Linked DNA regions of Drosophila melanogaster. The protein of the gene in region 3 interacts with the protein of the main gene of each other region in a pairwise test. Each region holds a gene or a part of one and is shown on either strand. Other genes may lie near its edges.

Region 1 (5,881 bases), 3.1 Mb from region 3:
CAACCAGCTCCTCCTCCCCTGCGATTCCCACTGCAATTGGCGGTGGGAGCTTTGTAGTGGCGGTTCGGACTGGGGACCCGGCTTTGCTATATATAGCGTCATGGCCATCATTTCGCAGATTATCTCTGAAACATTTCATTTCATTTCATTTCACTCGATTTACTTCCTTTCGGGCCAACTCGCACTTTAATTGGCATTTTAATGCCGTAAACAAATTATTCACTGCCCCCGAACGATCAAGTGTCATAATTTCTTTTCGCCACCTCAGTGAAACGGGCTGTGTGTGAATTTGTGCGAAAGTTTTTCACGGTCCCTAACAATGCTTTATGGTTTATCGCAATTTTATTGCTATTTTCCAGCCAGCTCATAATAGTTCAAGTATTAGCTACAAATTTGAAAACTATAATAGAAGAAACTGCTGTTCCAATTTGTCCAAACATTTTAGATAAATAATGTACTAACCTATTGTTTCAAATAAACGCGCTAAGTGAGTTATACTACCTTAAGTCCCGTGAACGTCTTATTCAAAATATTATTTATGGGAAGTAGATGAATGTGTATCTATTCACACAATCTAAATTGGACCTCGCCTTTTGAGAACTTCATTGAACTGTCCGCAGACCATCGATTCGTCACTTCTTCGCTTTATTTCGTGTTCCTCGCCTAATGATCAAATGGTCTAATAGTTTATTTCATTACTGGGGCTCTGGAACAGGGACTGGCTTCTATCAACCTGTCTGGCTTTTTGGCCACTCACTAACCTCCAAACGTTTAATTAATGATCTGTTGTTTCTGTTTCGGGCGCTTCTTTTACGCCCATCTGCCACCGCACTCCCAAAAACAAAAACAAAAACAAAAAGAAAAGTAAAAAATCTGTATCCAACCGACCGACCATCGACTTCTATTTAAAATTAAATTAACCTGCTTAATTTGCCCCCACCCCTCGTTACTCCTCCTCTGCGATGGACGCGCCCAAAACATTCACTCCAAAACGAGGGGCGAAAAAAAAAATCGAAAGGCGCTACTAATCGCCCCAATGCCTATGGATTCAATGTATGTATCTGCATCTGACGGATACATGCGGCCGATTTCCGTGCATTTAACGCATAAACGCTTTTTGGACACTTTTATTCCATTCGGGGATTATCATTATCGCCGCTGCTACCCTTTCGCCCTTCACCATTTCGATTCGATTTTGATCGCTCAATTAGCGTAAAAGTAACATGTCAAACCTATTAATCACTTTCGAAAATAAAGCACAACACTCTTCTTGAGCTAAGGAAACAATCGAATTTATAGAAAATACATTCCATGCCCGCTCGGTGGGCCAATAGTGCGTGAATCTAGGCGTAGCCAAAAGAGAAAAATTATATAATTTATTTTTTCTTTTGATTGCCAAATTAAAAAGTGTGTCTGTATCTGTGCGCGGACAACTCTATTTCGCTCGCAACGTCTTTTTGGCCTGGCTAAATCTTAATGCCGCCCCACGAAATCGCTGCGTCATTACTCGAACTTCAATTTCATTCATTCATCAATTACAATACAAGAAAAATACAGTTTCGAGCGGTGGAAGCCTTGAATCTTTCGAATACGTGTCTGCTGATCGCGAGGCAGCCAGATACAAAAACTAAAATTCATCTATCAACTTTTTGTTGGTGGTAAATGTTCCTCAGTTGACATTAAGTCTAATATTTGTTGATCCTGTGATGGTGCTTATTGTAATCAATTAAATTAAGCCGTAGTGGTTCATTAGAGTTTTAAAATTCATTTATGTATTATAGTTAACGTAATGGCAGGAAGGTTTCTTGGATATTGTGGTTTTATGTTCAATTTAGATATTCTAAGGTGTTTATTTATATATTGTTTTTGCCCCTTTCTGAAAAAGTATCTTACTGTCTTTTGCTCAACCTCAATCTGTCTTGTGCATATCTTTCAACTTACATGCTTGATATTTCTGATCGCTTTGGTAGCATCAATTTGCCAGCCTCTTCTAGTTTATTGTGCAGCTTTGCTCTAATTGCACAACTCGTTGTCGTGGCTGCGATGGTCGTTGTTGGTATAAAATCCGCACGGATATCCGTTGGCCGCTGGCAGGAAGAAATCACCATTTGAGCACCGTTTGGCTATTGCAGCGTATTTTTCTCTCTCGGCCTTACGGATGTTGATAACTCGACTGGCATTGGCTGCTATACAAATTTGATCTTCTGGTGGTTATAGTTGTTGCTTCAGCTGGTTTTTGTTGTTGTCGTAGTGGAGCGTAAGTCATCCTGTGATCGGGCCAAGATATAAGATATATTGCATATATCTAGCTTTGATATCCGATGGCGCGTGGGAACTTCAGTTTAGGGGATATTTTTTCGGATGGATTTAAGTTGGTATAGGATAGTCTTTAGGTAGTTTTTTTTGTATAGCAGAAAATAGCTTTGTACAACTTTATATAAATATTGTCTGGCTGCCAATATTCGTATTATCAATTAAACGTAGTCAACGGTAAAAGATGTTGATTGAATGTATTTAATAAATTATTGTATTTAAAACACTTTTAGATTTATGGTAATTAGGAGCTTTAGTTGTACGTATATACGAGGGAAGTTGCCACTTTGAGATATAGGTATATTTTACTGATCTTTTTACACTTTTTACAATCACTCGCGTTGGCCAGCTTGGTCTGATTTATGATACAAGTTGCTTAGAATTACTTTTTATTATATGTATGTATTTCTCTATTTAATACGTTTTAATTGGCGAGCTGTTCTCCCCGGAGTTGACATCGATCCCCGGCCAAGCCGCTTCGATCCAATCTCACCGCACTTCCCAGTCGTTTCAGTTTCCTCTCGACGATCGCTCAGCCCGGGCTATAATCTTTTCAATTTTATAATTTCATTATGGATTGTCTGTTTAATGTCTGCCCATAATCATCAGCCTGTACACATGTCTCGGTGGCATTTGTTGTTGATTTCCGTGCAGCTCGGCTTGGATCACTTTGCATTTACGCGCTGTCACAATTTGCATTAATTGGATCTAAGCGAGTAGTTATCATTGATTTAGCACCGATCTCTGGTATATATAGGCCATAGATATGCATCGCTCTGTGCAAGTGTTTTAATATCACATCATCCACGTACTGGGCGTAGTTCATAAAATTCCTAAGCAATTTGTGATTTCATTTGTGTGAGAGGAGCATAAATTGTACGTTTTATTCGAGATTTACAGCAAAGTTGTATCGATTTATTGTCTATAGGAGGATTCGAGTTTGGAGATAGTTTCTTTTTGTTTTTGTCTAGGATGAAATTGACACAGTTAGGAATTTGCATTTGCATATGCTTTTAATTTACACATAACATATATTTTGTATTTAGGATGTATCCTTAAGCGATCCTATCTTCACTTCACTATAAAACGGTAGCGCTTCATTTTGAATGTTTTACCGTTATCACCGATCGCATGGCGTTACGTCTTACGACCGCTTTACGTAGTGGATCTCTTCTGCTCAGCGTTACGTGCTGCTGTTTTTCCGACAAAAGCGACAACACGACCAATAGCTTTGAGACCGTCTCACGGACTGATGATAGACCCAGTCGCAGTCGCAGCTTCAGTTTTCGATTTCCTAATAACGAAAAGCTAAGAAAAGAGCAGCAGCTCAGCTCAGAAACATAACAGAAGGAAAAAACGCAAAATAGACGACGTCTTCGGCGAGTGTATGGGTGCTCTGAATGAATACACAACGATAAAAGACCGATCCCCGATCCACCAGTGATGATTCCCACTTCCACGCGAGACTCACAATCCACAGCGTCGACAGCGACGCCAACTGCATCAGCGACGCCAGCAGAGGCAGCGACCGAGGCAGAAGCAGGGGCCTAGGCAACGATGCAATAAATCGAAGCTAATACACTTCTTTCTTAATGTAGAGCGATCCAGCGAACGTGCTCACACAGATACACGAACACATGCAAAGATGCTCTGGCCTAGACGAGTTTCGAACGGTAAATGAGGGGCCGCCAGCCGAGCGATCCGCGCGATGCATCCTGCCTGGTTTTACTCAATGAAAATTCCAAAAGCGCTAGACCTGCATCCAAAAACTGGGTGGAGATCTTCCGCCCCAACGACGAACAGAGAGCCGATCTCAAGACCCGAACCCGAACCCGAACCAAAGCCGATCTCGTGGCCGCTTCACTTGGGTTCCACAAAACGCCGAGATACTGTATCTGAAAAGTGAGCGTGAAGCAGTCGCCGCTGGAAGCTCGAGCGGGCCACAAGCGGACAACATTCTAGTAACTTGGGGGGTGCACCTAAAGAAAAAGAGATTACTTCTGGGTTGAATGGGTCGAATTTTAGTTGTAGGAATGTAACTTTTGAATTAATTTTAAAGATGCATTTATTCATGAATCTACGCGTTAAAGATTAGATCAGTATTTAATTATTTTAAATAGCTGGTAGGATAATCACACTTAAAACCCAGTTGTAAATTATTATAAACTATTATACTCTTGGCAAAACTAACCAAGTAGGAAAGACAAAAATCCGATGGACATCTTTTGTGGACTGATTTCCTTCTCCTTGTCTAGAAATATCCCATCATTTCTCTGTGTGCACACTCTTTAGGGGAATGGGAAAGTTCAACGGGTTCTTTCACTGATCGCAGATTAACATACGGTCAGAGAAGGGTCTCTGGTCTTAACTTGTGTGTCCTACTTGGCACGAGACTGGAATCGGGCATTTTCAATGTCCATGTCCATGTTCAAGACCATGTCATGTGCCTTCTTCTTGGCCACTTCACACAGCTGCAACAGCAGCAGCAATTGCAACTGCAACTGCAATAGCAGCAGCAGCAGCAACTGGAACTCTTGATGTTGCTGCGGTGCCTGGCTGCTGTTGCTGTTGCACGAAATCGATCAAATCAAAAATGACTTTGTGAAGTGACTAACTGCCTAACTGCCAGCTGCCGTTGCTAGTTGCTGTTGCAAGTTGCTGATGTTGCTGCTGCCGCTGCTCCGGCCGCTGCGGCTGTCTAACAGTAGCTTGGTTGCTTTGATTTTTTGGCGCAAGTCCAAGTCCAAGTGCATGGACATACAACACTTCAAAATGAAAGCACATTCCCTTGTAGAAATTTTACCGTTACAGGTACAGCGCACCCCATGCACATCAGGTCGTTTGTCCACAGTCCGCAGTCCGCAGTCCGCACTGTCCATTTCTCCGCTGCCATCATGCTGATGATCGGCCAGGCCAACACTTGGCAGCTTTATGGCTCAGATATTTGCAAATCTCCAGGTTCCGTAGCGTCTTGAGCTGTTATTGTAGCTGTTCTCCTCTTGTTATTCTAGCTGATGATCTGCCATCATCTTCATCCCGCCAAGAGGAAGCTGCGAAGGCCGAGATACCCACTCTCCTCAACGTTCTCATCTTTCGCAGCGTCGGCCGCGTGCCATGGTCGTTGGTTATTTATTTGAGTCAATGAGTTCACAACTATTTTTCTATTTTTCCTTAATGGCCTTTCCTTTTTCCACCCGCTCCCGCTTTCCACACGATGCCCGCACAGCATTTTCCTTCGCTTGCTTTGCTGCTTTTCCGGGCAGGGAAGCGCCTTGTTGTCTTCGCTTGATTGATGGTTTGATAATATGAAGTCGGCTGGCTTGCATTTTGGGCCTCTGTGGCCAAAAAGGATTGTTATGATGGCCAGTGTGCTGCAAATGAGTTCAATTGAAGATTATCTTTTATTAATTAGCGTGGCGGAGGAATGTGGGTCAGCTATGGAATTCAGTTGGATGATTGGGGCATCCTTTGTGGAGTGATTGCAATTGGGTGGTGGAATGCGGAGGAGATTGACGGTGAAATGCCGGAACTTTGGTCTTGAGTGAGTGTTTGATTGAACCAGAAAATA
Region 2 (6,612 bases), on a different chromosome or scaffold from region 3:
TATACAAATTTTATATGAATTTTATAACATTTACGTATACGTACTAATTGCTATCATATTCGAACGACAAACATTCCCGGAGAAATCTTAACATATAGATGTCATTAGGAAACTACAAAAAACCGCTTTCTAAAACTGTATTTTTAGATATAACAAGTAAAAAATCGGAAAAATTTACCACGGGCTACTAGCTATTTTGTAGCTATTCTCGACTGAGCGTTGCCATCCCTGGTCACGACCAGTGTGACCATCGAACTGGTACGACTTCGGCAATTTTCGTAGCTGTCAAGTGACGTGACGTATGTATGGTGCTGTCGTGGCGTTCGCTTCCAGAGAGAAAGAAAGTCGCAGGTCGCCGAGTTGGATAGCCGTAGAGTTCCGCCTATTCCATTGATTACTAAATAAAAACCACCTCATAACTTGATCAAGATGTCCCGTCAACTGTTCGCCATTTGCCTGATTGCCGCCGTTTGTGCGTCCGGCGTCTACGGTAGCTGCAAGGCCACCGTGAGCTCTTTCAGCACCCAGGATGCCACGATTCTGACCCAGCTGGCCCATGTGGGCGAGTTCACGCTGCAGTGCAGCGGAGCCGCTCCCGCCAGCCTGTTCGCCGAGTTCCCCTGCGGCAAGGTGGTGCCGGTGGCCAAGGTGGGCGACAACAAGTACCAGGTGAGCCAGTAGTAGCCCCGTCAAGTTTTGTGCAAAGGCTAATCTCTGTTCTGCACTAGGTGAGCTGGGTGGAGGATATCAAGCAGGGCAGCAGCGGCAATGTTCAGGTGCGTCTCTTCGACGAGGATGGCTATGCCAATGTGCGCAAGGCCCAGCGGGATGGCGACAAGGTTTCATCGGTGAAGTCGCTGCTCGACATTTCCGTGCCCACCAAGGGTGCCTACAAGGGTCCCTGGATCAAGGCTGAGCTTTTGGCCGCCTTCTTGGTCGGCGGATTCGCATACTTCGCCTTCACCACCAAGGGCAAGGTGCAGTCCTAAGTAGAGGATGCCTTCGTCATCGAGATTTTGAATGAAATTCATTCGCACTAAAGTCATGTACCATCAAATTGCCGGGTCCCGGAGATTTTTCCACATTTTGTACACCTAAGCATCGGATCACCCGCCGCTCCAAAATAAACTGATTGAAAGACCAACCGAAGGAACCTAGTTGAGATTAATTTAATTTTAATTTAGAGATAACTTGTACGAATACGCTTAAACCTGGCCCGTGGAGGGCGCTCCATTCATGGTCGCCTCCTCGTCGGAGGAGATGTCTATCATGCTCTCCACACGCGACGGCGACATCACATACACAAAGTGCTCCGTGGAGCCCTCGGGGCCGACTGGCGGCGGGGGTATGACCACGGAGCCGTCCTGCGGCGGCGGTGGCGGAGTATCTATGCTGCAGTACTTGAGATTCCCAGCTCCTCCTCCGCCTGAATCATCCGGCGGTGGCGCTCCACCGTTGCAATCAAAGTTCTCCAGCTCTAGCTCCAAATCACTGACGATTCGCATGCAACGCATCTTGGCGAGCGACTGGAATTTCATGGGCATAGCTCGCACCTGCCGCGCCAGACTCAAGAAGAAAAGAGTGTTTGCGTCAAGTTCTCTGTTGGCCTGTAGCACGGCAGAGACGTCCCAATCGCTCGGAAAACGCGGATCGCAAATCTTACGCGTTTTGGCGGGCGACGGCTGTTGTTGCTGTTGAATTTGTGGCATTTGCATTGACTGCTGCTGCTGCGTTTGTACGGAATTCCCTCCGGAGCAACTTAGGTTGATGGCCGTGGTTTGCGGCGAAGGTTGTACCCTTCGCACCTTGGAGGCTGGTGGCGCTGGCGGCGGCGGCGGAGGAGTGGGATTACCCATGGGTAAGCTCGGGCAGCTGCCGTTCAAACGATTGGCGTTCTGCACTTGGTTGGCCAGGTTCTGGAACAATCCCAAAGGTGCTCCAGCTGCCGCAGCCGCTGTCAGTTCCTTCTTGAAGTTGTCCGCCGCCGCAAAGAGATGCGGCTCGATGATCAGACAACCGACATTGCTGTTGGTTGCGCTGCCGGTGCTGCAACCAGGCGGCGTGATCGTAGGTGGCAGGGGAAGACCAGCAGCCACTGCCGCCGCCTTGAGCGTGGCTAGCGGGAACATCTGCTGGGCCAGTCCGCTCACGCCCAAGCCCATGGGCAGATGGTTAGCCAGAGAGGCCAGGGCATTTGCATTGGCCTTGCTGACAGCAGCAGCTGCGGCAGCGACTGAGGATGCGGGTGAGATGGGCAGGGGCAAGACTACGGCGGAATTACTGCCACTGGTGGCAGGTGGAGTCATCGAACTGAGCGGTGCCACTGCAGCACAGTTTAGACTTCCGGTTGCACTGCCGTTGCTATTGCTGTTGTGGATTTGCGGTCCCACGGACCCAGAACCTCCTCCTGTTCCGCCCAAATTGCTGCCTGGAGAGATCATATTCGGGGGCGTGGTCGCGCCCAAACTTGATGTTATGCCGGACGCCGAAGTACTGCTTAAAGCGGTAGTATAGGTATTAACCGTGTGCGTCCCCATGGATGAGCAACCAGCCGATGCAGTGGCAATGGTTATCTTCAGCTCATCCTCGCCTCCATTGCTGGCCGCCTTGGCCAAAACTTGGTAGCCAAAATCACACTCTGTGTCGTCCTCGTCGTTGGATTTTCCATTGCCATTCGCGGAGTTCCTAAAACAGATGATCAGTTCGGCGATTGTACAAATGAGCTGCAATGTGGAGTACTCACCTGCCCGGTCCCTGGAAGGGCTTTAGGAAATCCATGTGATCTGCATGGGCCCAGTACTGGTACTTCTTGGATGTCTTTGTGCCTACGCGAAACGAGCGAAGATACTTTGTATAACTGTCCCTTAGATTTTTCCATTTCCGTTTCGAGGCCTCTAAAAATCAAATGCAATAAGAAAAAATTAGATGTTGATAATTGTGGTATGCAACATTGAAAAATCGGAAGTGTTTTGTTGAATATTACTCTCAGTCGTTATTTAATGATTAAGGATAAAATAAGTTTTAAGCTTAGACCATCTCACAAACTTATCGCTGATTCTATTATCAGGACTGCTAATTTTTAAGGATGCGGCTCAATACGTTGTCAGCTACCAAAAGCATATTTCAACACAGATTTAAATATTCTTTTAATTTTTTCCATTAGCCCATGTACAAATGTATAGTGGGGTCAAGTTTAAAATTTAAATTTCGGACAGTGTGACCGCCGTTCATGACCAACGAAATACTTAATCAGCGAATGCAGTTTGGAGTTTTTAATAATATAATTCATTAGAATTTGCAATAAGCGATCTGCTCGCCAATATGGTGAATATAAAGCCGCAATCAAAAGAAATTTAATCGTGATATTCTGAAATTCAATTCAAAAAGGTATTCCTATCATCTGAATTGCTCGTAAGATATTATAATAGATTAAAAAAAGCATTTACACACGTTTCATTTCTAAAAATTATGAGACTTTTGTATATTGTACACACATATAAGCAAAGCGATGCTTAGTATCTTCTGGGGCTCTTATTGGAAGTATGCTCCAAAAGCATTTAAGTTATGCTAGATTAAAATTAATCCCAAATTAAACCGTCGTGGCGGTAACAAATGTTTAATGTTTACGAGGGGAACTAAAGAATACATGGTGCTCTATTTAGACAAAATACACATTAAAATATAACTAATGTATGATATTACACATTTATTTATGTTTGACTAAAAGTTAAAATAACAATTATATAGGCAATATTATAATATAATAATAATAATAATATTATTAAAAATTGCAGCACAGGTGGTTGCTTGTTTTGGGAAAAAGTTTCGCACCTGGCAACACCGTGCGCAATGTTTTTGTTTTGAAAAGCTCTCGCCAACCCACTCCCACAACCGCCCCTTCCGGCCTGTTCACTATCTTTCTCGCTCTTTCTCTCAGCATCAGAGAGCGCGCAGTTTTCGCTCATCGACTGTTTTTGTTTGTTTTTTCTGCGTGCCAGTGTGTTTTCCTTATATTTTTTTTGTTTCTGCTTCTCGCTGCAATTTGCCGACCGCACTCCAACTGACATACACACACACATATGAACGTACAGTTTCTATATACATATGTATATGTACCAGCGTACGAAAAATATCAGGCCGGGCGGTTTGAGTTTGTCCGCTTTCAGGTACATATACAAAGGTTGTATATATGCATATACATATGTATATACAGTGCAGCAGTGTGCGTGGGTTCTACGTAATTCAATTTCCTGCGCCTCCTTCTTATTTGCTGGGTGGAAGGGGGTTTGGTGGTGGGCCGGGCTGACGAGGGGGTGGTGCTACTTGTAATTATTACCTACCCACTGAAAGACCTATCTCATCGGCGATTTGCGTCCAAACCTTCAGCTTCACTTCAACGTTCTTGTAATCCGGATTGTGGTTGTTGTACACCACATCGTACTTCTTTACGATCTCGATGAAATCGGAGGTGTTATCTGACGTAGTCGAGGACTCGCTAATTGCGCGCGCCACTTTCACATCCTTCATGCTAACGGCGCTTTGCTAACGGTTTCGGCAAGCTTCTTATTTTTCGGTCGCCTCCTTGCTAACAGTACACAGCAGGAGAGAGCGCGGGCTAACGAGAGAGAGAGGGAGAGAGAGCGAGCGCAAAAATCGGAATCTGCCAACCGTCCGACTATCCGACTACCGTTCTGTGTGCGACCGCTCCGGCAAACGTTGGACACTTGAATGAAACGACGACGACGACGACGCCGCCGAGAGCTGCATGCACACACAAGTACGCTCCCCACTCCACCGTTCCCCCATGCCGCACCGCCCCTGATTCACCCTGCCCCGCCCCGCCCCCACCTACCGCCGCGCGCGCACACTCACACACGAACGCACACTCACACATACATGCATAGACAGCCCGAACCAACAACAACCAGCAACAGCAACAGCAGCACCAGCGACAACAGCAACAGCAAAAGCGGGGCCCCAACAGCGAACGTCGTTGGAGGACGTGTAAAGAAGAACAAGAACAAGCAGGCAGCCAGGCAAGCTCATCATGACGAAAAAACAGAGAGCTGGCGGAGGTGGGAGGGCAGGGAAGGGGCGCAACATGGGCGTTCGCACCGCTTGAGCGTTAACCGCCCACAAGAAAAAAGCAGCAACAGCAACCACATAGAAAGAAGAACCAGAGGGCTAGTTGCACTATAGTGCTAGGTATGTATTTGTGTACATACATACATGCATATACATATGTATATGTGTGGACACGAAACCCAGGCGCGACAAAATTGCGATGCTGCCCGCACTTTGTGGCAGGCGAAATGTGCTGCAAGAGCTGCTTAAATGCATTTTAAAATGCAGAAGATGGAACTGTTGATTGTCACGTGCCCGTTTCGTCCAGCCAAGTTCAAGGTCACAGCATAAGCAATGGCATATCGAAAGGATATCATAACGATTGAGAATTGTGCAAAGAGAGCATCAAGAGAGTGATCTTTGCTTATCCTTATCAGTTTGTCTCAACCGAGCTTTTGGTACCGCTAGGACAGCCACTTTTGAGAGAGTGAAAGATGTGAGAAGAGCGCAAAAGAGGTTTGTTTGAAATTGAGTGTTGCAAGGGTGGGGGAGCAGGACGGCCAAAATTGGAGAGTGGGCGAGCCTGCTCAGGGGCGTAAGAACATACATACGTATGTGTGTATGTTTGTATGTACATGGAGCACCATGTGGAGGGTACCCTGAAAACCTGTGAACAATTTTACCAAGTTATCGTATACCCTGTTATCGTGGAAGCCAGTACATAGTATAAAATATTTGCAACCAATTACTGTTGCTTAAAAATAAAATGCCTTTAATATCTCTTCCTGATGCTACTTCAGCTTTAAATTCTTTAAGCGCGAACAATCGGCCGCTGGGCCCCCTTTCTTGCTGCTGGACTCGCTTCTGGTTCAGCCAAATGGCTCCATCGATCCGCGTTCCTCAGCAACCCCCCCGTTCACCGCGTTCACTGGCCGTCCTCTTCTTCTTTTTTTCTTTTGCTGCTGCTGGTGCTGCTGCGACTCTGGTTTTGTTGTTGCGAACCTACGACCAGTTAACTTACCTACCGCTTTGGCTCCTTCCAAACTAACACACAAACACACACACATTGGCGAATATTTAGCCAGGCGACGACGACGGCGCCTGTGTGTGTGTGCTTGTGCGCTTTGGCTGCGTGTGTACGTTTGTATCTCTTCAGCTTGTGCGGGTTTTTTGTTGCTTTTATTATAAGTATTTTTTCGCTTTTCTCTCGTCTCGCCTCCTCTCCCTTCCTCACCTCTTCGTTCCCTCCTTCTATCTTCCTGCCCGCCCCCACTCGCACACGCAGCAGCGACGTCTCCGCCTCTGTGCCCCTCGGTCCCTCTCTCACTCACTCTTTTGGCACAGCACAAGTCCTGGCGGCCGGCTCTTGCTCTACCTCCCCCCACCACCAACTTCCCCCCTCTCTTCAACCATCGCCACCCCCTCCCTCTGGCACCCACAGCTCCCGGTTTGCCAGTTCCAAACGTCATCATCACCGCCATCATCATCAACATCACCATCATCATCACCAACAGCCAGCCCCCAAACAGCAGGGAAAGCAACAACAAC
Region 3 (5,587 bases):
GCTGTCCGTCATAAATCTATCAAGTTTAATGGCCGCCTCAGCGCTGCACATAATTTTATGTATTTTATGCTGCAAATTGTTAGCCAGCGCGCACACAAACACAAATCAGAAGGAACAACCCTCGGAGAGCCACCCAGCCCAAGAAAAACCCCTACCCACCCACCGTACGGATCCACCCCAGAGGAAAGGCGAAGACGAGAACACGAATTTCCACGCACATCTCCGAAGACTCACAAATTTCATAAAGTGGCAATTCAATCAATCAATTCTGACAGGGGGTGGCCATTGGGGTGGACTGCACCCAGTCTTGGCCACCTTAACCGTTATGCTCACGTACACAATCACACAACTCAAACTGATTTTGCTACGGATTGGAGAAGTTGGAGTGGGTGAAAAAAAAAAAACACGAGTGCTTTGGAGGGAAAAACAAAAGCGAGGGAAGTTTTCTTAAAATTCCCTTTGTCTTGTTTTTAACAGCCCCGCTTTTTCGGGGCAGTGTTTTGCTTCGAAGGCAACGGACTTGTCAGTCATTTAGTAAGTTTAGACCCAAGACCTCTGGCAGCTTAAATATATTTTTAATTGTCTACCGAGGGGCGCCCTCATCCACCCGTCTAAAAACACCACCCTTCTTGTAGGCATTTCCAGGATTCGCAGCTCTCCTGTTATCCTATATTATTTGCGTTTCTGATTCGCTTCTGCTTTGTTGTCCGCTTTTCGTCCTTGCTATTGTCAATGTCTTGGGCATAGGATACATTTTGAAAATAGAAAAGAGCATGAAGGACATGGTTGACAGGGTCGTTTAAACAGATATGTCCTTTGCGAAAGTACATGGAAGATAACGTCTTGGTAGAAATAAAATTCTATTAATTTTTATTTTTATTTTTATTAATTTTCTTTTATATTTTTCAACTAATTATTTTATATTATGTTGTTATTTTTTTCAACTAACTAAGATGTTATCTTATATCTTCCATTTCTAAAAATTTCAGAACTTGAATTAACTAACTCCTAACTTCTGAGAGGAACGATGGCCAGTGAGCGTGGCCAATCTGACACGGAATTGAGTGACATTTCAATGGAGTTTGGTGAGTGAGTGAGACAAGGAATAGCCATTTCTTCATTGTTGTATTCACTTTGGTTCGGAAACTGGCCCTGCGCAGAAGTTTCGTAAAAATGCTGCTCTACAAAACAATAAATCAGCGACAAATTTTGCAATTTAGAATTTAAATGTTTTCGATTACCAATCGAATACATTTCAATACATTAATTTTAAGTCATTTTTTATGAGCTCCTCAAATGTTCATCGGCTTACAGGGCACCTTACCTTCCAATTTGTATATACGTATGTATGTATTTATGGCCAAACTATTTTCCATCCGATCTTTGGTTAATATTTTTACCCGTTACTACTTAGTTTATATTTCTTTCGATCGATATGTCAGAAAAATGTTGAAAATTCTAATTCGCACTTTTACCAGCTTTGTACCTTGACTATAGGCTGGCTTAAATTCGTTCCATGCAAAAGTCCGTTTTATTAATTTCCAAATAGACCAAAGAGGATATATGTTTGCGTTTATGTTTAGGGCTCCTTTTAGAAATAGTTTGGATATATGAAAACATTTTGAAACAAGGAAATTCCTTAAAAAATTTTGTTTTTTATGTTTTATAGCTTTTACATACATAAAAAAATTGTTTTTGCATATTGATAAAAGTTGGAGAAAGAAAAAGGGAAAATAAGAACAAAAGAAAATGCTATAGTCAAGTTCCACTACTATCAGATTAAATGTCATCATTTTTTTGTCATAGCGATATTTATTATATCGATTTTGGCAAATAAAATGAGAAGATATGACAAAATTGTTCTAATATGTTGTCCTGGCCGTTTTGTGCGTTTTGTAGGTAGTTAGGAGGGGCGTAAACAAAATGTTTTTGGTACAAAGAATCTATAAAAATTGGCAATTGACATTTCTATTACAATGTCTCTAGAATCTGTATGCTTAGTCTCCTGATCTCGACGTTTATAACGACGGGCATATGTATATGGCCAGATCGACTGGGCTATCAATGAATGATACATATGTACATATATTGATACATATGTATCAATGAATTAAACCTGATATAATAGCAAATACAGCTCCTATAGATAACACATAATGAAAATGAGCTACTACATAAGTATCATCTATAATAATATCTACTTATGAATATGTACATATATTCTTTCAACGAATCTAGTATACCATTTTACTATAAGGGCAGAAAACTGAAAACATTTTGTAAAAGTGTGGGAGTAAATTTTTTGGCGGTTTTGTGGACGTTGACGTGGGCTCGGCAACATTCTGCAAAAACCTTGATAGCTAAAAATTTCGGCTTTTTTAGTTTCCGAAGTCTCGACCATCAAACGGACCAACTCTTCTCTCTATGTCCTTTTTAAACAACAAGTAATAGGTGTAGAAAAAAACAAGTTTTCCGTGTAATTGTTTATTTAATAATATATTATCCTAGGGAGATGCAATCCTAGTAACATTTTTTGAATAGCAAAGAATAATATTTTAAATCATGTACATGTACGTTAAATGTTTGAAAAAACTTAACAAAAGTGAATTTTTTCGTTACTATGTATTCGTCGACGCATTGTTGGTTTACCTTTATTTTTTATTTCATTTTATTTTCTTCCGATTTAATTTGTAAAATGATTAATTTTTTCAGAAATGGCGACAAATGGAATTAAATTTGTTTCTCCCATAAAATTCGAAGTAACTCATCCATCTTTCGAAATCACTCAAACATGCGAGAGCGAAACAGAAACCGGTCGCGCTCTTGTGCTCACGAGACAATAACTGTTCTTGCTCTTTCGCTTGTCGAATTTTCGAAAACAGTCTGTGGACAGAGGCGTTCGGATGAGGGTCTCGAACTAGGAAATTGTTACAAAATATATGGTAACATTTCGCTAATAATAAACAACGAAATATTTATTTATTAGTTCTTAAACGTACTCACAAAACATAGGTACCATATCAACCACTAATAGATTCTTTCAAGTTGTTAGCTTACACGAAAATGTTTTAACCCCCTCTTGAGATGTACGCCACTGACCCTACAAACCGCAAAACAGCTGATTTTTGTCGGTATGCAAGCAAACCTTTAATTAATGACAATTTAATGGCCAAAAGCAACCAAAATGTATTTACCAAACAATAATTCCATAGTATTTACCTTAGTTCAAGTCGAAACATAAATATGTTCATTTTATTTTATAATTTTGGGGTATACATATGTATATTACGAACCTGTGGATCGGAGTGCAAGTAGCAAGGTTGGATTAGAGGAAATAGTTTTTTCTCATCAAAGCAGAGCTTAAACACTGTTGCTGATGCGTATTTTCATTTAAATTCGATAGAACAAACTGTAAAACACAGATAATAAAACATAATTCACAGCGCACTTTTCACCAGCAAGCGTACGACGCACGCGACGAGTTGCTTCTCCCACAAGAAGTTCGAAATTCGAAATCGTTTGTGCAACTGAGAGAGAGAAGTTCGAATATTTGAGTGGTTTTTAAGTTCGAAAAACACCAGAGATTTCTGATTAGGGGGTAATTTACTTACAATTTTTTTTGATTGGACTTCGTGATCTTTTTCATATATACATTTATCGAGCTATAATTCCTAACGGTTAAGGTCTATTGGGGTCTCGAGGTTAATACGAACGGATAGATTGAGATGGCTATTGATCTTAATAAAGAATATTTGGATCGGTTCTGTCTAGTTTTTTTACTCAACTCTTTTTTACTTCTTATTTAAATATTTTAAGGTGTAGAATATGTTTCGCAGTTGTGTCTCATCGTTTGTGTCCCAGATATGTATGTATTTACAGCTGTGTTCAATAAAATAGCAGTGCGAGGGAAACTAAGAAATACAAAGGTATTTTCCCTTTTTGGAATCGACTTTTTATTTCACTTATTTTTGTAAAATGGAATGTGTATATAGGAATAAAAAGAAAATCCCAATAGTTTTTCATGTTATCCTTTTCTGCTTAAATTCTTGAGCAAATTCACAACTTTTATGCTGTTCATAAGAATAGCAGTGTCTGGTTTTGTCCAACGTAAAGTCCCGAAAATATCAATATTTTCTAACGTGTGTTTGGTTCGTATATTTAAAAGAGCAATAATTAAAAAAAAAATAAATAAAAAATATTGTATATTATAGTAGATAGAGAAAGAAAAGAATGTTAATTCACCAATCAAAGAAAACATTTCACACATATTCTGCCTTCAGTTGTGTCCATAGAAATCGGGGACACAAGGCAAATCCATTTATATTGCGAAATCAAAACCATTTTTCCATGTCATTGGAATCCTCCACTAGAGGTGAACTAATTGCGTGTTCAGCGCAAAATCTTTTCGATTTATCGCCTCAGGTTGATTTTATGCTTCACATAGACACCACACAGCCGCTGCACATCCACATATTGATGCAGCATCCAAAGGACCGAAATGAGAGGTGGGCTCCAGAGGGCAACGGAGCGAATACCCGCTGATTTATACGCTTCAATCCCACATTTTTGTTTCTTCGGCTGCCATTTAGCTAAAATATTTCATATCCGAATTGCATCGCCGTCTCGAGCCTTCGCTCCTTCGTCTTCGTTTGGCTGCCAGGCAGAAGACTAGAGCGGGACGCACTGATGGCAGAGAGTGGGAGCGAGAGGGTACGCAATGGACAGCCGCTTCCCCGTAATTATGCGATTTGTTATTCGAGATTTGAGGCGATTGTGACTGGGCACCATGTAGGCGAGGAGGCGCTGAAGAAGCAGCAGTTCCACCGAGAAATGATTTAAACTGCGATTTCAATTCTGGCATTTCTGATTCGCCCAGTGTCTGTGTTGCAACTTGAGGCCCTCCCATACCATCTCCACAATCCGCCGCGCGGACCCCGGACACCGCAAGCTGAATTCGACACGCCAAGATCTGAGTATCCCAAATGATAATGCTGCGGCCATTGCATGTGCGATGGGCAGTCAGAGTCGGACGGGCGGACTGACTCCGGACCAACGGACAACATCCATTCGCTGACTGACTGACGTACTTGGGGGCTGACTGATATGGGTGGAACCAAAAGGCTCACAGAGCGGCGAAGTCTTCTTGCTGGACGCCCTGCAGCAGACATTATAGCCAACGAAAAATATTGGTTATATATTACAGTTTCTCAATATTTTAGTCAGATTCCGAAACCAAGCGAGAAAAACGAGTCATCGCTACCCTACATCAGGACAGTAAATATATGTAAGTATACTAGATTGTAAGTGTACTAGATAAGAATGTAGAATCAGTTTTAATCAAATGAAGTATATCTTGTGCCCTTCGTACACCCCGTGGAGCACGACTACAGCGTTCGCTCTTGTACAGTAAAAGGGTATACTACAAAAGATTCGTTGGATGAAGAAAGCATTTTCGACTATATAAAGTATATAAATTATTGATCAGGATCAATAGCCGAGTCGATATAGTTATGTCCGTCTATCCGTATGAACGTCGAGATCTCAGGAACTATAAAAGAGAGAGCATACAGATTCTAGACCCAAAGCC
Region 4 (5,503 bases), 4.2 Mb from region 3:
AATGACACTCCAGTACCGGTGGCTGCACACGAAAGACACTCAAGACCCCAAGTAAAACTGGAACTGAAGCCGACCAAGCAGAACTCAACTTGAATCGATTGCCGGCTGTCTGAAGTGATCGGGCGGCATTACAAATCGTTGTATCAAATATTAGTAAAAGTGAAAGTAATTGCATACTTACAACATGTCATCCGCGTTGACGAACCTCTTGCAATCGCTGAGAATTGTGCCCTTGGGACATGGAAAGTCCAGTAATCAGGTGGTCGTTGTACCAAGCAAAAAGGAACGTTTAAAACTGGAAGATCTGCCGGAGATCGCATTGGAGGAGGTGGCCCAGCACGACAGCTTCGACGATTGCTGGGTGGTAATCTACGATAGGGTCTACGATGTGACACACTTTCTAAGGGATCATCCCGGCGGCGACGACGTCATTATGGATCACGCAGGGCGAGATGCCACCATCGCCTTCCATGGCACAGGACACTCGGGGGATGCCATCGAAATGATGAAGGATTTCTTGATCGGTCAACTGCCCACCAAGCAGCACATTTTTCGCACTGGCAAAAACAAGGTTTTGTCCCTGGGCATACCGGAATAATATAATGCCAGCCGATTTTGCACCGATCGCCTTCGCCGCCGTCCTCCATGTCGTATATGTCTATATATATATATATTTTTAGAGTATTCATCGACTAGTTTTCTAGTTGTAATCCGCTTATTTCGAATTCCGCTAAACGGCTTTTGCTTAATCATCAAAAACCATACAGACAACTATGTATGTATATTTATATGTTAAATATTTTTGCCAAGACTTGAAACGGATCTAAGATTATATTATTTTAAATTTGATTGTGCTCTTTGATGTTTGTTATCTGATGACTATAAATGGTTGGTTGGGTTGGGCGTGTTTGAGTATTTGAAACTCTTATTTTGTTTGTTTGTTTGATGATTCTGAAAAATGACAGGCTTCTATCAGTGCTGATGGGTAAACCTAAATGACCAAACCCTTTTCCAACGACATACTTTCTACTTCAATAATACTTTATTCGGTAATATTCATCTTACACATATTGGTTGACATTGGGTAAATGCATAAATAAGAAATGCTTATGACAAAAATAAATATCACTGAACAGATTTTCACTTGGCTGCTCTGATAAGAGGCTCCTTATCAACCTCCTTTCGTCTGACTAGTACACAAGTATTTGGCATTTGCTTTCCAATTGACTTAAAAGTATTGCTCATTAATGGATTGCTTATCAGTTGAACCATAGTTTATGGTGGCCCCCACTCCTATTTAACTGCTGCTAGTCGGTGGTTCGTTGTGAGGTCCTTGAAGAAGAGCCTGCAACTTGGCAGCCGCCGGAAATGCACCCAAATCCAGTGGCGCTGCTCCCGTGGTGCTTTGTATATAGGCCAAAAGTCTAAAAGTAAAAGCATATATGTTAATAATTCCTATTGAGCGTGGTAATGAACTACGTTACCTTCTCAACTCCTCGAGAGCATTTTGCTGCATCAGAATGTAGTTCTTAGCCAGCAGCAAGGTGGCTATTTTCGACAGCTTTCGCACAGAAGGCGAATGGGCATAGGGAATCACACTTCTCAGCTCATCAAGGGCATCATTCAAATCGTGCATCCTTCGTCGTTCCCGGGCATTTATGTTCAGCCTTACCGTCTTTCCCTGGCGGTTTTTCTGCTTGCCACTGTTGGAGCCACTTCCGCTGGCGCCACCACTGGACACGGCCACCGTGGTGGTGCCACCACTGATGGCAATGGCTGCGATGGCGGCGGCCGTGGGACTCAATGGCTTCTCCGGAGCACTGGGCCCTGGTTTGTTCTCATCCGTCGGTGGCTGCTGGGACATGCCCATTCCCTGGGCATAGAAACCACCCAGACCAACCGATCCAAGTGGCGTCCGACGGCCGGGGACGCTTTGTGGTGGGCTGGCGGTGGGTGCTGGATGCTGGCCACCAAGCATATTGGCTGTAGGAGGTATTGGCATGTGTCCGTGGTTGGGGAGACCGGGAAAACCAAAAGCAAGATTCGAGGGATCCATTTTTTTGTATTTTATGGGACTTTTCCAGCTGTGAAAAAAAGGTTGAAGGGATGTGTAATCTTTTAGGGTAGTCCTTGCAAATCAAAGTTATTATGATGCAGGGTTGCATAAGAAAACTAAAAAATAGGGGTGAATACTCGTATGCTCAGCTGTTCGGTAGCGCCATCTGTCGGAATTTTATGTATTTAATAGGTTAGCAAAGCTTTTTATAGGTGGAGCATCTGTTTTGTGTTTTAACCCGAAATGGTTTAACAAATTGCAAACGTCTGTCAGGTATTCCTTAAATTTAATTAAAGCAAAATAATCGTTAAGCCTTTCGGAAATTCAAAGCCAAAATATTACGCGGTAGTCAGATTAACAAGATGAATATAAGCTTATCAAAGCTTTTCATAGGTGGCGCTGTGTAGTAGTCCAATTTAAGGGATGGTTTAATATGATGTTTCATGGCGAATACAATTTTAGCGGCATTAAATTTATTTAGGAGCGCAGCACTTCAGAAAACAATAAACTTTAAAATTATACGTCAATATATATAAATAATAAATTTGGCAATTATTAACCCAACGAAATGGATTATAAAATATGCAAAATCGACGCAGCACTTTATTTAACTTGCAGTTAATTCATGACACACTTAAAAGATTATTAATTTAAATTAACCACAAATCACAAGTTCGCCGGTGTACGAAGGGGACGAAGAGCACAGAGCACGGAGAAAGAAATTGCGGATTTAAACATTTTTAAAAATCGCACGCACCACAAACCAGGCAAAAAATTCAGATCCTGAATCGCAATCGGAATCGATGCGCGAGTGTGAGGTGCCCGGCAACAACAGAGACGACCGCGATTTTGTGGTGGGTTATAGTAGTCGCATAACGATTTTCCGATTTTCTCCGCTCACTCTCTCTCTCTCTCTCCCTGCCTCCGCCTATGCTTTCCAATCGCCCGTCTCTTTCGCTCTGTCAGCGAGGATGATTATAAACTTTTTGCCACCGACGCCACCGTCGCCGTTTGGTGTTAATCTCTTTCTGCAGAAGGAATATTATGAGCCACTATATAAAATGTGGGTCGGGTGTCGACGCCGGTGGTTGACGTTTAGTGGTTGGGCTTCGCATAATGCAGCATCCACACCAATACATACAGCACGATTATTACCAATACTCACAAAGGTGAATGAGTCACAGTTTCAGCACTAAGAAAAAAAAATGATTACTAATGATCGAAACCTTTTTGAAACATAACATATAGCATCAGATATACCCTACACAAAATAATAATAATTTCTAACATAAATCTAATCTGCTATTGAAAAGTTAACAATTACATATTTGCATTTAAAAATGGTATAAAATCATACTAATTAATAATCTATTCATTATTAATCATTATTTTGTATATTAAATAAAAGTCTGCATTTTTCAATTGGTTAAGTAATAATTAACTATAACCACACTTGATTGTAACGAAAACCAAAAACTTTTGTTATCTCTCAAAGTTGCATTTAATTGTTGAATATTATTTAGTGCAGTCAAATTTTTTACAAGTGTATGAAGTTTTTAATGCCTTTGCCCTGCCTGTCCGAAAATTCACTTTTCTTGTTGTTCAGGATTTTTATCGCTTCGCTCCTTTTCAACCCTGATGGCCCATCACCACCCCTCGCACCCTGAATCCGCCGGGTCCGCTCCTTTGTCTGTGATTTCAATTTCCATTGAAACTGAATCTAATCACATGCTCACTGCCTGCTGATCCTGGGCCGCCTGGCCAGTCCTGGATTCCTGTCCTAGGGGGTTGAACGAGGAACAAGGACCACGAATAGCCGTCCATAGCCCGTGCATCCTAGTATTTCGCCTATATGCCCATATACAGCATAGCTCAGAGGATGCCGCATCTGCATGGCATTCTCTACGTGAGCGAGTTTGTGCGTTTGCGAGTTGCCTGGAAATTATGGTATCGCATTGTTCAAAGCTGGAACAATGCCATAAATGGCACATGCCAAATATTTTCGTTGGCAAAGGCATAAGCTAGAAAAAGGTATGGAAAATGATAGGAAGTGCTAGGCAGATCTAGGCCACATATTTATTTATTTGATTGTATTTATTAGTTTTAAGCAATCTTTGGGTGTGGGTATATTTTTATTAATTTAAATATAAAAGGACACATTTTTCAATTAAGAGTATTATAAGAGTGTTTTTCAATTGAAATATTTTTTGAAATATTTAGAAATCCGCTGTTTAAATGACAACCTAACAAAATTATCATGAAAATCAAACATTTTTTTAAAAAGTCGTCCGATGAAGATTCTTTGTTAGTGCTGCTCTGATAAATATTTAAAATCAATCAATAGAGAATTTTTTTAATAATAAAATTTAATCGAAAAAATCTGTGAACATTCTTTTTTTTATCGACTTGTAAATTGTTAAGTCAAAATTTGAAATAATTTTTCGAAGATGCCTCTTTTAAAGTTATAAACTTTGTTATTTTACAAGTTCCATAGCTAAAGCAGATGTTTATTATCCAAAGCCAGCATCTCCATCCTCCTGTCAACTGCAATGCCCACTAATGACTTTCCACACTTCGGGCCTCGCAGGACATTTATGTATAAGTGGCGGAGTGTGTGTGCGTGGAGCTGCCTGCAGTCGTTTAGTCCTTAGAATAAGTCAAACTACGAGCACGGGCGACAGACCTAATGACTTCGCGCATGATAAATTTAATAATTTGCGCTGGCAACTTTTCCATTTGGCCTTTGTTTGCGCTTCCCTCCTTTCGTAGGGAAAATTATTGTGTCAGATGTTCGGGGCAGCAGTCACCGTATGCCATTATTTTCAATGAAATCCGGAATCTGGACAGCCCCTCTAGGCAATGCACCATTTGCTGCGTGATTGTGAGAGTTTTTTTTTTTTTTGGGTTTCGGGCTCGGGATCGGAATCGGGTATATTTGCAATCGCAGTGCACTCTCCCTTGTTGTAATTGTTCTGGGACTAATTCAGTTTATATATGCAGCATTTACATTGCAATTTACGGCGCTTCAGCTACGGCCAACACAATCATTTCGACTTTTCAACCCCGGGCCAGCCGAAATTTAAATTTTCGGTTTTTTCATTTTATGGCCACATTTTTATCAATCCATATACATATATATGGGCATTTGTCGCTGTTCCGTATCCGGGTTCCCGGATCCCAGGTCCGGCAAAGGCAATGAGGAATTTCATTATAATTTGCATAATTTATGCGCGACCGTGATTTGCATAATTAAGATTTGTACATTTGTGCATGCCAGTCATCATTAGCTTAGGTTCCGCACTGCGGACCAATTGTAAATGGCCAGCCCAGGGATTTTTTGGCTCGTACCTCGTGATCCGTCAAAGGGTTGTCATGGGTTAATGGATGACCCTCGAACTAAGCCACCGCGGGTATGGACATAAGTGGCTCTATTCATTTTGTGACGCT

The links.
Region 1: the proteins of CG31612 (region 3) and CG10348 interact in a two-hybrid assay, tested with the Drosophila melanogaster proteins (one large-scale study listed by BioGRID).
Region 2: the proteins of CG31612 (region 3) and CG13204 interact in a two-hybrid assay, tested with the Drosophila melanogaster proteins (one large-scale study listed by BioGRID).
Region 4: the proteins of CG31612 (region 3) and Oli interact in a two-hybrid assay, tested with the Drosophila melanogaster proteins (one large-scale study listed by BioGRID).

The regions. Positions count from the first base shown.
Region 1 is NT_033779.5:18,728,956-18,734,836, forward strand, and holds the start of CG10348 (uncharacterized protein), read right to left. Parts: upstream 3,570-5,881; 5' UTR 1,942-3,569; intron 1-1,941.
Region 2 is NT_033778.4:11,364,830-11,371,441, reverse strand, and holds CG13204 (uncharacterized protein), read right to left. Parts: upstream 4,733-6,612; 5' UTR 4,528-4,732; coding exon 4,341-4,527; intron 3,157-4,340; exon of another isoform or gene 3,042-3,156; intron 2,895-3,041; coding exon 2,744-2,894; intron 2,686-2,743; coding exon 1,206-2,685; 3' UTR 1,155-1,205; downstream 1-1,154. Other genes in the region: Tapdelta (Translocon-associated protein delta), read left to right, coding at 430-669, 729-989.
Region 3 is NT_033779.5:21,791,953-21,797,539, forward strand, and holds the start of CG31612 (uncharacterized protein), read right to left. Parts: upstream 3,496-5,587; 5' UTR 3,442-3,495; exon of another isoform or gene 3,294-3,441; intron 1-3,293.
Region 4 is NT_033779.5:17,586,793-17,592,295, reverse strand, and holds Oli (olig family), read right to left. Parts: upstream 3,113-5,503; 5' UTR 2,717-3,112; exon of another isoform or gene 2,085-2,716; 5' UTR 2,057-2,084; coding exon 1,485-2,056; intron 1,425-1,484; coding exon 1,298-1,424; 3' UTR 1,029-1,297; downstream 1-1,028. Other genes in the region: CG6870 (uncharacterized protein), read left to right, coding at 185-598.